Macaca mulatta: one gene and its partners. The protein of the gene in region 4 purifies or fractionates together with the protein of the main gene of each other region. This does not show direct contact. Links are inferred from orthologs where the notes say so. Each region holds a gene or a part of one and is shown on either strand. Other genes may lie near its edges.

Region 1 (3,562 bases), on a different chromosome or scaffold from region 4:
AAAAAGTGTATTATAGGAATAGATTATAGACAGCCAGCCATAAGAGCTGGCTGTCTCTCTCAGTCATTAACTATATTTTGAAATCTTGTACCATGAATAATAGGTGCTTTTTTTCTTTTAGGACATGGTTCTTCTTGGAGAATATGTTCATATTCATTTTCTTCATGAGATTGCTCTTTTTGAAATTCTTCTATGATCCCTGTGATTGTGATTTTGGGGATTTTAGATGTTAGGGATTTTAATTGAGGAATTTTGACCTTTTGGGATTTCAACATTTGAGATTATGGATTTTGGGATTAGGATTTCAAACCCCTTTGACATACTGGGCTAAGCTGCTTTTGTGTGTGGTTTGGCCAGGTCATAGCAGTTACATAGCTGGCCCAAAACAAAAGTGAGGGACAGAACATTTTGGGGTTGCCTAAGGATCTGTGGCAAACCTTTAATTGTTGGGAACTGTGTGGGAATCAGTAACTTGATTACATTTACAGTTGCCCCTCATACTCATCAGAGTACCTGAAATAGTGCTAGGCACATGAAAAGAATTCAGTAATTTTTTCCTTATTAGTAGGAAAGGAAAATTATTTTGGCCTAATGAAAAAGAATCATGCAAACAGAGATTATTTTTGAGATATTTTGTTAGACAATTGTGAACATAGATAAAAAGAGAACTATTAATATAAAAAGAAAAAAGCAGAATCTCTTTTTCCCATCATTTTCCAAATATAAATATATTACTGTAGTTTAATACGTTCAGCTTTACACATTGCATTATGATAGAAAACACATTATAATAAAATTATCTGTTACACCATTCATTTGTGGACTGTGTTCTACAGTGGTACTGAAGTCAGTCACCGGGCAGGGATCTTTGTGGAATGTTAATAGGAAGCTCTGAAAAAAAAGTTGATGGCCAGATCATCCTAGGAAATTCTGAGTAACTGAAGTTAAGTAGATTTCTTTGCTGTAGGATTCTCAGAGGCTTCACTCTGTGTGTTCATTGTGAACCTCCAAACAGAAGTGTAGTGTACGGCTTTTCATACACTCATTTGACAGGTAAATCCTTTTTTCAGGACATACCTATTCAGTATGTTGCCTAAGACAGTTTAGGAGGTAGCCGTGTAGCATAATAAGGAAATAATGCATTTAAAATGTAAGCCTAACCAGATACATGATATTGTAACTATGCAGTGGGTTCTCCTTGCCCACTACCTAGACAGAGCTGATTTATCAAGATGGGAATTGCAGTAGAGAAAGAGTAATTCACGTAGAGCTGGCTGTGTGGGAGACTGGAGTTTTATGATTACTCAAATCAGTCTCTCTGAAAACTCGGAGATCTGAGTTTTTAAGGATAATTTGGTAGGTAGGGGCTTGGGTTGGAGATGAAATCATAGGGGGTCAAAGTTGAGTTTTTCTTGCTTTCTTCCGTTCATGAGTGGGATCATAGAACTGGCTGGGCCAGATTACCTATCTGGGTGGCATCAGCTGGTGCATTGGAAGGTCTGCAAAATATCTCAAGCACTGATGTTAGGTTTTACAAATGTGATGTTATATATGGGAGCAATTTAGGGAGGTGGCTGTGTGGCTCCTAAACAGTAATTTCTAATCTTGGAGCCAATTTGTTAGTCCTGCAAAGGCTGACTGGTTCCCCAGGCAAGAAGTGGGTTTATTTTGGGAAAGGGCTATTAACGTGTTTGTTTCAAAGTTAAACTATATAAACTAAATTCCTTCCTAAGACTAGTTTGGCCCACACCCAGGAATGAACAAGGACAGCTTAGAGGTTAGAAGCAAGATGGACTTGGTTAGGTCAGATTTCTTTTACGTAATTTCCTTCATTGTAAATTTTACGCAGGTGGTTTCAATATCTTTTTATTTTAAGAAGAATAAGAAATTATAGAAATGTTAAAACTGGCTGGGCATGGTGGCTTACGCCTGTAATCCTAGCCCTTTGGGAGGCTGAGGTGGGAGAATCACTTGAGGTCACGAATTTGAGACCAACCTGGCCAACATGGCAAAACCCTGGCTCAAATAAAAATACAAAAATTAGCCTGGCATGGCGTGTGCCTGTAGTCCCACCTACTCAGGAGGCTGAGGCATGAGAATCGCTTGAACCCGGGGGGTGGAGGTTGCAGTGAGCCAAGATCATGCCATTGCACTCCAGCCTGGGTTGAGACTCTGTCAAAACGAAAACAAACAAAAAAATGTTAAAACTTTCTGTTTTTGATATCTGATATATAATACAAGATTTTATGTTTCTTGAGAATTACTTTATGAAAATGAGTTTTTAAAAATATATGTTAGATTTAAACTGAATAATTTTCTATCATTTTCTCTTACACATAGTGAAAAACAAAATAAAATATCGAGCTGAAGCCTGCATTAAAATGCAAAAAACTATTCGAATGTGGCTTTGCAAGAGGAGACACAAACCTCGGTAAGATGAATAGTCCCTAAAAAGAACTCTACAAAACCTAGTTACTGTAATACAAAATGATAATAAAGTCATAATAAAAAGCAGTTTGGATACTCAAGGAGTTTTCTCACGTTCTTCGTAAGATGATATATTAGTCTTCTATTTGTAATATTTATTTGAAATTAGTTAATTCATTTATTACCTTATTACTTGCCTCATTCTATAAAAGGATTTGAAGTGGCATACGAAAATGTGTAAAGATTATAAAACAAGAAATAAGTGTTGAGAGAAGCTCTTTTATTCCGATTATTTTAGTTATTTGAGTTTCTTGATAATGTCAAGGTGACTTTTTTTTAAAAAAACTCACTAATGTATTTACCAAAATTTTCAAGATTATCTGTAGGAATTACATTGTCCCATTATAAATTAGTCTTTATTTCTTATTTGAATCTTTCATTTTTAATTTAGACTTAAAAATTGGAAGTCTGAATATCTATTGATCCATCACACCTTTTCAAAGAGACTTAGATAACTCCTTTAAGGTCCTCTGTGATTTGAATTCTCAAAGTTGTAGAAGGCTTTAATCCTGTTGACAGGCATCAGTGTCATTCACACTCATATTTGATTTTTTAAGCCTTCAACAAAAGATCTGAAAAAGAGAATACTAGATAATATTGAAAACGGAAGTGAAATACCCTGTTTAGCATTTTATAAATGAAAAATCTGCCAAAAGTATTAAATGATGAAATTAGGCTCTAATGAAGTATTATTTTTACAGCATTGATGGCCTGGTTAAGGTGGGCACACTGAAAAAACGACTTGATAAATTTAATGAGGTAGTCAGTGTGTTGAAAGATGGAAAACCGGAGATGAATAAACAGATCAAGGATCTGGAAATTTCTATTGATGCTTTGATGGCCAAAATTAAGGTATGTAATTTTAACCCAAATGACTTTGACTTTTTACATAATTTAATATATTTTGTTACTGGTATTGAAATTGTATAGTAAAGGTCCTTAGTTTTTCAAAATTACAAAATGTGTTGAGACCCAATGATGGCAAGTAGATGCTCATCATATTACCTCTACTCTTAATGTTTGAAAAATTTCATAGCAAAAAGTTAAAGAAGATAATTTTTATGCCATTTGTTCT
Region 2 (4,147 bases), on a different chromosome or scaffold from region 4:
TTGACCTCGAGCTTAACACAGACCTGAACCTTTGCTCTTCCCGTTTTCCCTTATCAGTAAACAGTCCCACAGCCACCCAGCTGCACAAGTCAGAAGCTTGGAAAACATATTCGACGTCCTCATTCCCTTACATCCATCCATTCCAAGTTCTGATACTTCTGTCTCCTAAATATTCCTCAAATATTTCTCAAAGTGGGCAAAATATTTCTTTGCCCACTTTTTATTTCCCTCTGCTTTGCTACAATCACCTGTCTCCTGGAAGACTACAAAAGACTCACTGGTCTCCCAGCTCCCACTTTTGCACTCACTATCTCCAGGCCATTCTCTGTTACTTGTTTCTATTGTTACTATTATTTTGAGACGGAGTCTCGCTCTGTCGCCCAGGCTGGAGAGCAGTGGCGCGATCTAGGATCACTGCAACCTCCGCCTCCCGGGTTCAAGCGATTGAACCTCCAGCCTCAGCCTCCCGAGTAGCCTATTATTTATTTCTAAAAGTAGGTGATACAGCCATACGATTTAACAATTCCTGCTCTACAGGTCCTCTCTACAGAGTCAACAGGTGCTCTCCATTCCGTGGTCTCCTTCCAGATATTCTGGGCCTCCCTGGGAGCTCACCTGGCCGGATACCTTCCCCCACCCACTTTCCTACAGGGCCAGGGGCCTCCTCGCTCCGCTTGAGACGCTCCATCCAGGCGCTCCCTCCCTATCGTCCGTCTCCCTTGGGCACTGCCCGGCCTCCCAGGCTGGGCTGAGTAGGCCAGTCTCTGGTCAGTCATTCTTCTGTTCCAAAGCTCGAAAGCCTTCGCAGCCCCGAGAATGAAACCCCCTGCTCTCAGCACCGACTCCTTCAGGCCAGGTGGCCCCTCCGCACCCTCTCTTAAGCCAGTTTTCGCGTCATCTCTTCCCAGCGGCCCGCCTGCCACGTCATCTCTACCACAGCACCAGTCCTCCACGGCCCTTGACAATACTTGGGAGGGCAAGTTCATAGGTGAGTTCTCACGCTCTTCCTAGGAGGGAGGAGCGCGGCGGGAGGGGCCGGCAGACGGGCTTGGCCCGGGAGCGGGGAATAAGGTCGCTCCGCGCCTCTCAGTTTAGCAGAGGAAGACTATTAACCCAGAAACCCTTTCGCCTCGGGCTGGCGAGCTCCTCCCCGCCCTACTCCCTCCGCGCGAAAAAGACTGAGCCTGCGCAACAGGGACTGCGCCTGCGCAAAAGACCACGCGGGCGGGGGAGGAAACTGCAACTCCCGGCAGGCAGGTGGTATTTTTCATTCCCTCCCGTGACCAGTGACTTCCGGCGCGAAGGGGCGGGGCTGGGCTCGTGGCTGAGCCAGCAGCTGCAGCAGCTACGGGAGTGGCCGGGTGGCCGGCTGGCGCCAGCCGCCATGGAGGCCGTGCCCCGCATGCCTATGATCTGGCTGGATCTGAAGGAGGCTGGTGACTTCCACTTCCAACCAGCTGTTAAGAAGGTGAGTTTGCCTTCCGTCTTCCCCCCCATCCGCCGCGTATCTCCGTCGTCTGCCAGCGCGTGACGCCCCCTGCGCGCCCACCACCTCAGGCCCCGTCGCAGGGTCCGGTGAGGCCAGGAGGGGCTTCCGCCAGTGTTCCTCAACCTGTCCCACACCCAGGGGCTCGCAGGCCATTCTTCTCCCCGATAGCCCGGTGCTAGCACCTGCATCCTCATCTGAACCCGCTTCCCGACTTCTGCCCCGAGTCATCCGCAGTTCCCACTGAGGCACCACACTTCCTCCTTCTGACGCTCGGGACCCAGTTCTGCCCCGCCCCTCCTCCATGGCTGGACCGCCCCGCGCGGGAGCGGTGGGCGGCCCTGACCGTGCGGATTCTTCTGCTGCGCCCGGCCCTCGGTGCACTGTCAAGTCCACGGCCCTCCTGGGACAGACGCTGGGGATGGCTCAGGGCGTGTGTTTAAGACGTGAGCCCCGGTGACCCAGCGAGATGCCCGACCCGTGCGGTGAGGGTTTGTTTTAAAATTGCTGCGATGCTGTATGGTCTCTCATTCGGGAGTCTCTTTGGACCAAACGATACAATCCCATGACATTTTTAGAGGGTTACTGCTTTTCGTAACCGACTGGAGGGCATAAACAGTGTTGTAGAGCTTAGAGAAATCTTACTGTGTTGGAAGAACAGACGGGCAGGTTTGGCGTTGACTAAGGCAAGGAACTTATGTGGAGAGGTCCAGGTATGGTGATTGAACACAGGTGCCCTCTGAGACATCCGCTGTGTTGGTAGCACTGAGGGCTAGATAGAGCAGAAGTGAAAAGGAACAACCAGGAGGCTGTCGCAGGTGGGGGGCCTTGTGGGCATAGCACAGCAGATGCCAGAGTAAGCCCCAGTCTAGATGGTGCACCACTTAGCGAGATGCTTGGGAAAACAAATAGGAAAAAGAAAATGGGTTTTGAAGTAGTTTCCCAAGAAGCTATCTCCCCTCTTCTCTCCATACACCATTGCCTTAGTTCAGACAGTGTTTGAGTCCATCATTTAGCCTCTTGGGCCCAGGAAATGAGGCTAATTGATCCAAACTTCTAGAATTTTGTTAACTGTTATCCATACGTTACTCTCTTCATCTGCTGCTGTTTTTTTTTTTTTTTTTTTTTTTTTGAGACGGAGTTTCGCTCTTGTTGCCCAGGCTGGAGTGCAGTGGTGCGATCTTGGCTCACCGCAACCCCCGCCTCCCGGGTTCAAGCAATTCTCCTGCCTCATCCTCCCGAGTAGCTGGGATTATAGGCATGCGCCACCATGCCTGACTAATTTTGTATTTTTAGTAGAGACGGGGTTTCGCCATGTTGGTCAGACTGGTCTTGAACTCCCGACCTCAGGTGACCCGCCTGCCTCGGCCTCCCAAAGTGCTGGGATTACAGGCCTTCTTCTGCTCTTTCATAAAAATACAATTGGATGAATTTTTCTAAGACACAACAAAACTCCTGTTTTCTTTCCTTCCTTCCTTCCTTCCTTCCTTCCTTCCTTCCTTCCTTCCTTCCTTCCTTCCTTCCTTCCTTCCTTCCTTCCTTCCTTCCTTCCTTCCTTCCTTCCTTCCTTCCCTCCTTCCTTCCCTCCCTCCCTCCCTCCCTCCTTCCTTCCTTCCTTCCTTCCTTCCTTCCTTTGTTTTTGAGACAGAGTCTCATCTGTCACCCAGGCTGGAGTGCAGTGGCGCCATCTCGGCTCACTGCAAGCTCCACCTCCTGGGTTCACACCATTCTCCTACCTCAGCCTCCCAAGTAGCTGGGACTGCAGGCGCCCGCCAGCACGCCCGGCTAATTTTTTGTATTTTTAGTAGAGACGGGGTTTCATCATGTTAGCCAGGATGGTCTCCTGACCTCGTGATCTACCTGCTTCGGCCTCCTAAAGTGCTGGGATTATAGGCGTGAGCCACTGCGCCAGGCCAAAACTCCTGTTTTCTATTTTACAGAATGGAGCCAGTATCTTTTTTTTTTTTTTTTTTTGAGATGGAGTCTTGGAATAGAGCCAGTATCTTTACTTTTCCATTAGAGTTCTTCCAGAGTTATCCCAGTTCTTTCAGCATTTATTGAGTCCCCACTGTGTTCTTCATCTACTGTGTGCATCTGATAGAGGTACCCTAGATTCTGTTCGCAGTCACTTGTTGTTTCCTTACCATACTGTTTCCTCTTCTGTGCCTTTGGTCATGGAATTCCTCCTGCCTAGAAGAGCTCTCATTTTGCCCTGTGGGGTGGTGAGGTGCCCTTCTTCAATCTCTGTGAATTCGTTTTCTTGTCTCCCATCCAACTTTCAAGGTCCAGCTTAAGCTCTCCTTTCTGCAGAGCCTTTCTTAATCTTCCTACCTGGATTAATCTTTCTTTTCTCTTAATTCCTTAACTCTTTTCATCCTTTCCCTGGTGACAGTTATGTATACCGTGTTTTAACCCCGCTGTTCAAGTGTGCGTTACCTGAGAAGTATCCCTGTGTTCCCCAGAGCCTAACAGTGTACCCTCTACATAGTTGGCAGTCAGAAAAATCTTTCTCAAATGATTGAATGACAGCTGAGAGGAAATTTAGAGATGGTGACCATAAATATATGGGAATGCAGTGGATAAGATCTTGGCCCACAAACTCCTAGGACGTATTTTTGTTTGAGTTTAGCCTTTGCTGCTCTGACCACTCACACGGAGCGG
Region 3 (3,990 bases), on a different chromosome or scaffold from region 4:
TTACTCTAAATTGGTAGCAGTTTAGGGTATTTTTGGAAGATAAAGCTTTTGCAAAGGTAGGAGTGAAGCCTTGAGTGCTGGTTCAAAAATTAGAAGTGCCTGTATTCAGTCACTTAATGACTTCAGACCTTGACTATGATTTGAGAGGGGTCAGATCTTCATCCTGCCACATCGTGGCTTCTGGCCAGAGGCTGGGAAGGACTGTAACATTTGCAACCAGATCTGCCCTTTCTCACCCTTCCTTCCTCCCATGACAGGCACAGTCCTGCCCAAAGAAGGCAGCAGTTTATCTCTGCAAGAACCAAGCAGGCCTTTAATGTTTGAGGGTTGGCTCTGTCTCCTCAGCTTGGATGTAAAGATTCTGTTTATCAAAGAAGGGATTTCAAATCCCATGTCAAACTGAATTCAACTCTTTGAACATCTTCTAAGCAACATATATGCCTGTCACTAGAAGGCATGCACAATCGCATAGGTATAGCTAAGGAGAACATCGGCTCATTCATGAAAAGCTGTAGCTGACCTCGAGGAAGAGTGTACAGTCATGGACATATTTGTGAAAAGGTTTAGTTTCTTCCCGAGTGGTCTCCTCTTTGCTCCCCGCTCCTCTCCTTGGGTCTTGATCCCTTGGAAAAAGCCCATGTCCGGAATAAATATATGAGAAAAGCTTGGGAGAATCAGAGGTAGTGTTAGAAAGCAGTAAATTCAGCACAAACACTTATACTGCCAAGTTGTATTTATTTGTGTGCAAAGTGAGGACAGCCAGTCCTGGGACTCTGGAAACAGAAAAGGCCTACAGCAATCCCAGGCTTAACAGATGTGCTTCTACAAATGGCATTAATATTCCAAAACTCCAAAACACAAATAGGAACAGGAGGAAGTGCAGGGACTACAATTCCCAGAGCGCTCAGTGAAAAAAAAAAAAAAAAATGAGGCCGGTGGAGCGGTGTATGCTGGAATGTGTATTTCTGGTAGGGCCGGCTAAGGCCACGCCTACCCCTTCCTGAGGCAGGGACGGTTTCTCGAAAGCAGTCGGTAGTTGTAGTTTTGCTAAACCTAGAGCGCTTCAAATAGCAAGCAAGGAGGCCGCGAGGCCTGACGGGATTTGTAGTCGGCGCGAGAGGCGGGCGCGCACGCGCAGCCGGGACCGGGGCGGGGCCGCGGCACTGCGGTGAAAGCCGAGGCAGCGGGCAGACGAGCAGGGGGCGGGCGGACATCTTGGGATCCGGAGAGTGGCCGGGCCGGCAGAGAAGGGGCCTCGGGACACCAGGTGAGCCGGGGATCTGGCCTTATGGCGTGGGGGAGGACGCCGCGGGTCGTCTGCTTCGCCGCCCAGCTTTGTCCTGCCCTGCGCTGAGCTGGCAGAAAGCTGCCCACACCCGGGAGTGGCTTCAGCCTTCAGACCCGGGAGCTGGCTGACGGTGGGGCGGGGGCGCCCGGGGCGAGGTTGCAGGGCTGGCTGGGAGCGGTGCCCTCCACCTGACCCGCCTGGCGCCTCCCATGAGAGGGATACCGCCTGAAATTCTCCCAGAGCAGGAACGCTGCGCAGCGCCCCCTCCCTAGGATAGTGCCAACCCCCTACCCCTCCGCGCAAGGACAATTTCCCCGTCTCGTAGGACAGTGACACCCCCTTGTTCCGCCTCCTTGCACCGTGACAGATCTCACACCATGCGGCCCCCCCTCCTCTCAGTTCAGTGACATCCCGCGGCTCTTCTTCCTTAGACCTGTGACGGCCCCCGCGCCCCATGGCACCATCTTTTCCCACGATGTCTCCCCAAGGCGAAAAGCCCACCACCCCCTCATTACTCTGCACCTGAACCCCAAGCAGGCTCTGTCTCCCCAGCTTTCCCTTATTCACTACCGTCAATTTCCCCCTGCTGGTTTTTCCTTCTTAAAGCCTTGACCTTTTCCATACTGGAAACCCTTACCTTTAGGTGCACTCCACCAGCCCAGTTTGCTGCTGTGGGCTCACCTGAGGACGCTGCCTGGCTGTCACTGCCGGTCTTTACCCTTAACTAAATGTTCCATTCCTGCCCAAGGCCCCACCTCTGGTTCTCGGGTGCCCTTCCCTACCTACCACTCGATATACCTGTGGACTTGGTTCTTTGCCCCAGGCTCTACCTCCATTTTGCATCTCCTCTACCAGCCTGTTTGGGACTGAGGAATGGGATGAGTCCACCACCTTGAGAGGCCGCTCACCCCTCTGGAAGACCTTGACAGCCACAGGAAAAGGCTTTATTTTCCAGTTTAGAAAAGTCTTCTAAAGTACTCCCTGTGAAATTAATACCAGAGCTAATCCAGGAAATCTAAAAGCAAATTAATGCCTTTTCTCAAGCAGTCTAAATTAATTTGACCCAAATAATTTGGATAATTCAGGCATCCTGAAATCCCTGCTTCTTGTTTATAGGCACCCAGGCCAGAAATGAGTTACTTGATGGGCCTGGAATCACGATTTCAGATGGAAGGATTTCTTAATTTTATGAGCCTGCACTACCCCCACCCCCCCAGTCCTTACTTTTATTGCATTCCAGAGCTTTTTGAAAGGGGGGTGGTAGTCAGAAATAACTGTAATAAGCAGCTTAGGTGATGGAGGTGTAGTCTGCCAGCACTAGGACCTTCCTCCTTTGCCCTTTGCCTGCTTATTCCACTGCCTGGAAGAGGTTAAGCCACACTCCCGGGTCCACATTAGGGCCTAAGGGCTCCCTTCTCTTCTCCTCACACCCTTTCTTGGAATGTTTGAATTCTGTGAATTAGAGTGCCGGAAGTTCAGGCCCTGCGACCTTCTCTGAAGGGTAGTGGAGCCCGAGAGACTGGATGCTCTAAAGGTTATGCCTGGGGGCCCCAGGCCTGAACCAACTGGAGTAATTCCTACCGCCATTCCTGCAGCAGCAGGCAGGCAGGCCTTAGTGACTCACTGGCCGGAGCCTGAGAGTCTGCACAGGAGGAGGCCGAAAAGGATCATTCCTGAGCTCAGTGCTGGAGAGAGGGGGCGGGGTTGCTGATGCTCAGCCCCAGGAAACGGAGGGTCAAAATGGCCTTAGAGTCCTGAGCCTAATCTCTCTCAGTTTCTTTCTCCCATCCAGTGTGGAATAAACAGGAACTGGAGCCTAGCTGAGGGGAGGGGCATGTCTGGGAGGGCTGCAGGGTCACTTGCTAAAGGGTTGAGTCAGGAAAAAAGCTCCAGTGATCTGCACAGCTCCACAGGGGATGTTGGCAGGGATTCTGAGGTCTTCTTTTACCCCGCCCCCGCCTGTCCTAGGTCTGTTCTCAGAGCAATGGGCCGCGGAGACTGATCTGCCGCCATGATTGGAGGCTTATTCATCTATAATCACAAGGGGGAGGTGCTCATCTCTCGAGTCTACCGAGATGACATCGGGTGAGTCCTCTGGCAGAGCCAGCTGTGCCCCACCACTCCAGCCCCCGAGCCCCAGCATGCAGGATTAGGTCTCTTCTCACCAGAGGCTTGACTTGGACCACCCTGACCCCTGGCTGCACCCTGGAAGCTCAGCTAGTGTAGCCTGGCTCCCATTAGGTCTGGTGGTATTCACCCGGCAGCCAGCCTGCTGGCCCCTAGGTGGGACCCGTGGAATGGCATGGTCCCACAGCTTTAGGAACGCCTGCCCTTCCTGCATCCTGTTTCTCTATACAGGCCTGGTTGCTGGAGATGAGTGCCTTTGCCCAGGCTGGTGAATTTCTTCTTTGAGGAGAAGGAGAAATATCTCTAGTGGGTGGGGTTAGTGGCCAGGCTGGAGACACTAATCCATCTAAGCCTTGCTCTGAGAAGCCCTTCTCATATCAAGCGCCTTCACTGGATTCTATTGAAAGCCTCTCCAGGCTACCCAATCCTCTCCTGCTCCCTTTCTCAGGAGTCAGGCTGCTGACTCAGCTGTCTTCAGTTCCTCTGGGCCATTCCTGGGGGAGAGGCTGGGAGGGAGCGTGAGGCACTCTCTGGGTCACTAAGAAAGGGCAGGGAGGCCATGCTACCCTCTCTGG
Region 4 (4,017 bases):
ATCCTTATTAGTTGGGCTCAGTGGTTCACACCTATTATCCCAGCACTTTGGGAGGCCAAGGCAAAGGATTGCTTGAGCCCAGGAATTCGAGACTAGCCTGGGCAACATAGTGAAGCCCCATCTCTACAAAAAATACAAAAATTAGCCAGGTGTGGTGGCTCATGGCCGTAGTCCCAACTACTCAGGATGCTGAGGTGGGAGGATGGCTTGAGCCCAGTAGGTCAAGGCTGCAGTGACCTGTGACAGTGCCACTGACCTCCAGCAAAAACCCTGTCTCTTCAAAAAACAAAAACCTTATTAATTTTTCAAAAGGTAGGAGATAATGAAGTCAGGAGATATATTATCATGGAAGAGGCTGTAGTTATTTGCGCTCTGCAATTAATCAGCTGGAGCACACAGTCATATTAGCTAAGCAAGCTTAACTTTAGGCATGACATAGCAATCCAAAACACAGAGGGCTGAATTTTCAATTTGCAAATCTGCTTTATATTCAAAATCTTCAAATTATTTGAGAAGAAAATGGCTTCATTCAAGTATCTGCTGAAACTGAGCCAGTTACAAAACAGACATGTATTAAATTTGTCTTCAATAAGTGACAAGGTTGGGTTCCAATCTCTGGCATCATTTAACAATTCTTGTCTCCTCTTTAAAAGAAATGAAAAGCTATTACTCGAACCACCACAAGATTTAGTAGTGAGCTATACATCTGCCATGGAAAATAAACAGCAGCTGTACTTGATTCTTTGTGTGGTTTATAAACATTTGTCTGCAGAAAGATATTTCAGATGCAGCTTAGTATGAAAACAAGCCCGCGTTTTCCCCTCACACTTAAGAACAGCACTTTCTCAACTCTCCACATTCATTTGCCACCCCACTTTAACAAAAATAACTAAAGCAATTAAACTTGGATTGATTAAAAAAAAATCCACTTTGTTATTTAACGTTTTTAACCTTCTGTAAAAGTGTTTTTATTATTGGCATAAATATATTTATATATATATGCCAAGATATGCCAAGGTATATTCCATTACTTCAGATGAGTTATTTGAAAATTATAGATGACTGAAGAAAGTGCATTATTTGACTCATTTTATGGGTAAAGATTTATTATTCTTTACATTTCAAGCCTTAAAGGAAAATAAGTCCTTGCTAGTGCAAACATGGTAATACCTGCAAAGAAATATGAAATTATGTTACTTATAGCCTGAATATTAAAACCTTTTATTAACAAAACTCTTTTATGTATGTTATACCAATGGGGGAATGTAAATAAAAATGGTCTTCAATGGTAAAGTGTCTAATAAGTCACTGATATTAGTGTCATGTCAAACCACTGCATTCTCTGTCATTATGGAATTAGCCCTTCAGACGATAGAGCTGAGGCAGGTTTCTTTAAGGGGATATTTGGGAAGAAAGCAAATTAATAGGAATAAATTGTTTCAGCTACAGTAAAAATCAGGATTGGTGACACAGGAAAATCAAAAGCTCTGAAGAGGTTTAATTCAGTGAAGCCTTCCAATGGTCACCTGCCTAGGCCAGCGATTGGCATGCTGCCAGATGAGACAACAATATGTTGCCTCCAGGATAAGGAACCATGGGAAAGAACTCTAGAACTTACTAAAGGGAAGCCAGTTACAGACCAAATAGCCCCGCAGGTCTCAGAGCAGCTGTGCTCTGTCCCCAGGGCTCTGTTCAATTCCATGCGATCCTGAGGAAGATATTCAAAACTACCTGCTACTACTCGAGAAGACTAGAAGATAACCTCTGTATCACTCTTTCCTACCTTCTAGAACCAAAGAGGGGTTAAGAGCCACAACATCCCCAAAGAAATAAAAAAAGTGGGAAGGGGAGGCGAGTTTCCTTAGGGAGCTCGACCCCACACACTCTGAGATTGACATCGTTCTGAGAAATGCGTTCTCCCATTCTACCCTCGTTTCGTTCTTTCAGTGACCTTCTGTCCCTACTGCCTCAAGGAAGGCAAGAGACAAGCCACCGCCTCACCACCACCCCCAACCCCCACCACCGGAGAAGGTGCCTTTCTCAGTTGAGAGCCGCAGAGGGAGGAAAAAAAAAAGGTTGCTCCTCCCCAACCCACCCGCCCCACAACTCCTGGGTGCAGACACGAAGAGGGAAAGAGGAGAGCAATGGAAGGTGACAGCCCCGCACTGGCCCAGGGGATAAGAATCCTTGCTCTGGTAGAAACAAGAGAGAATCCCCCCTCCCACTCCCCTACCCAAATGAATGAACTGAACAAAATGGGGAGGAGAGAGTTTGTACGCGCAGTTCTGGCCATCCAGGAAGCAAGATCGAGAGGCCTTTGGATCCAGGCCTGGTCTTTGCAGCCCTTTGCACCCCAACTCCTGTCCTTTCATCCAAGCCCCACATCATTTAACAGTTTAAGCTTTCTAAGATAGTGCCCCCTCCTCCACCTACCCCAAAGACCGACAACCCCCCCACCCCTCCAGCTCCGATCCTGCTCGGGGCCCAGACTCCAGCTTCTTCCACTATTCCTACCACCTTCTCCACAGCCCTCACCAGCCCGGGCCCGGCCGCACCTGGAGATGCTCCTGAAAACGAATTGGCAGAATCTGGGCCATGGCGCTGTCGGGGGGAATGGTCTCCTCCTGTCACTGGGGCTGCGGGGCAGTGGCTGCCCGGGCTCTCCGAGGGAGAGGAGGAGAAGGGGAGGGGGGAGGCTGGGCTCAGCAGGATCCTCTCCGGGGACGCAGGAAACTGGCACGCAGACGAAAGAGCTCGGGTCGGGGGCGGAGGCTCCACGGGCCAGGAGAGCCGCAATGGCGGAACCGGGCGCAGCGCAGACTCCGGAAACGGCTGAGCCCAGCGGAAGGATCCCGGCGACAGAACTCCGCCCAGTCGCCTCACCCCCTCCGCCTTATGTACCCCTCCACGGAGCGGTGCGTGCGGCGGGTGCAGGAATTCCGGGCGCTGTGCGCCCGGAGCCTCTCTTCTGACGCCACACGGGGGGCAACAGAGGAACCGGAGGGACTACTTTTTTAGACTCATCACTTTCGCCAATCTTCTTTTTCTACCCCCACTTTTTTTTTTTTTTTTTTGCATTTTGCCACATCATGCGACTCGGAGCGACCGACGTCACTTCCGTGGGCGCTTTAGGTCCCACCCACGTACTTCCAGGTGCACGTGATACTGATGGGGAAGGGTCGGCTGATTGCTGCCAGAATGGAGAGCGCGTTTTAAGGAAATGCGGCGTCTCCTGGGAGTGAAGTGGCTGTTGGGCCACCTTGAGGCATGACGGGTGCCGCTTCCTTCCCCTGCGACCCCTGCCTGTTTGGACTGAGCCCCTTACAGGAGGACGTGGCGGGGGCAGACGGGGGCAGCCTCCCGCCCTCTCCGTGACTCAGGGAAACGGCCTCGCCGCAGAGCGCTCCCTCGGCAGCTGGCTGCAGCACTCCTCCCCCGCCGGGCTTCAGAGTGGGTGGTTTCCTACAGCCTAGGGAGGGGGCCTGAAACGGGGTTTAAAATCCTCCCTGCCCTCACACACGCCCTTCTGACGGTTGGAGAACCTGACGCGCGGATTCTAACTAGAACCGGCACTCTCTTCGGGTGTTAGATAATTAGCTCAAAGGACAGCGAAGGCCATTTATGATGTGTCTCAAGCTGGCCTTATGACAGCTTCTCTTAACGTTTCTGCGGACATTTTGGCGGGCGGACATGTGTCAGCCTAGCTCAGTAATCAGTTTCGTTAAAGAATTCGAGTATCAGAACGTACAAGGATTGGACTCAAATTCTAGCAGGAGGATTTTTAGCCACATCAAATAATTTATGTCTCAGAGATTTAGATAATTAGGGTAAGGATGCTTGGTAAAGCCTGAAGGTTCCTGGAGGAAAGAGATGAACTGTTAGTCGTGCATTTCCGTGGGACCACCTCAACATAGGTTCCTGTAGGTTAGCAGTGTAGAAATGCAGCGCTTCAAAGCCGGAGCATCATGTCTTCAAAGAGCATGGAGGTATCAACGGCATTCATTGTCGATTAATAAT

Evidence for each region.
Region 1: the proteins of CLTC (region 4) and MYO6 purify together in Homo sapiens (affinity purification with western blotting; 4 studies listed by BioGRID and IntAct, with this or other methods). This does not show direct contact. The link is inferred for Macaca mulatta from reciprocal best matches to the Homo sapiens genes CLTC and MYO6.
Region 2: the proteins of CLTC (region 4) and PTPN23 purify together in Homo sapiens (affinity purification with mass spectrometry; 3 studies listed by BioGRID and IntAct, with this or other methods). This does not show direct contact. The link is inferred for Macaca mulatta from reciprocal best matches to the Homo sapiens genes CLTC and PTPN23.
Region 3: the proteins of CLTC (region 4) and AP2M1 purify together in Homo sapiens (affinity purification with mass spectrometry; 3 studies listed by BioGRID and IntAct, with this or other methods). This does not show direct contact. The link is inferred for Macaca mulatta from reciprocal best matches to the Homo sapiens genes CLTC and AP2M1.

What each region holds. Positions count from the first base shown.
Region 1 is NC_133409.1:109,847,320-109,850,881, reverse strand, and holds part of MYO6 (unconventional myosin-VI), read left to right. Parts: intron 1-2,340; coding exon 2,341-2,431; intron 2,432-3,188; coding exon 3,189-3,339; intron 3,340-3,562. UniProt on the Homo sapiens protein: Myosins are actin-based motor molecules with ATPase activity. Unconventional myosins serve in intracellular movements. Myosin 6 is a reverse-direction motor protein that moves towards the minus-end of actin filaments.
Region 2 is NC_133407.1:110,738,304-110,742,450, forward strand, and holds the start of PTPN23 (tyrosine-protein phosphatase non-receptor type 23), read left to right. Parts: upstream 1-1,288; 5' UTR 1,289-1,384; coding exon 1,385-1,468; exon of another isoform or gene 1,469-1,971; intron 1,972-4,147. UniProt on the Homo sapiens protein: Plays a role in sorting of endocytic ubiquitinated cargos into multivesicular bodies (MVBs) via its interaction with the ESCRT-I complex (endosomal sorting complex required for transport I), and possibly also other ESCRT complexes.
Region 3 is NC_133407.1:96,309,465-96,313,454, forward strand, and holds the start of AP2M1 (AP-2 complex subunit mu), read left to right. Parts: upstream 1-1,151; 5' UTR 1,152-1,267; intron 1,268-3,256; 5' UTR 3,257-3,299; coding exon 3,300-3,373; intron 3,374-3,863; coding exon of another isoform or gene 3,864-3,938; intron 3,939-3,990.
Region 4 is NC_133421.1:50,365,025-50,369,041, forward strand, and holds the start of CLTC (clathrin heavy chain 1), read right to left. Parts: upstream 2,835-4,017; 5' UTR 2,598-2,834; coding exon 2,556-2,597; intron 1-2,555. UniProt on the Homo sapiens protein: Clathrin is the major protein of the polyhedral coat of coated pits and vesicles. Two different adapter protein complexes link the clathrin lattice either to the plasma membrane or to the trans-Golgi network.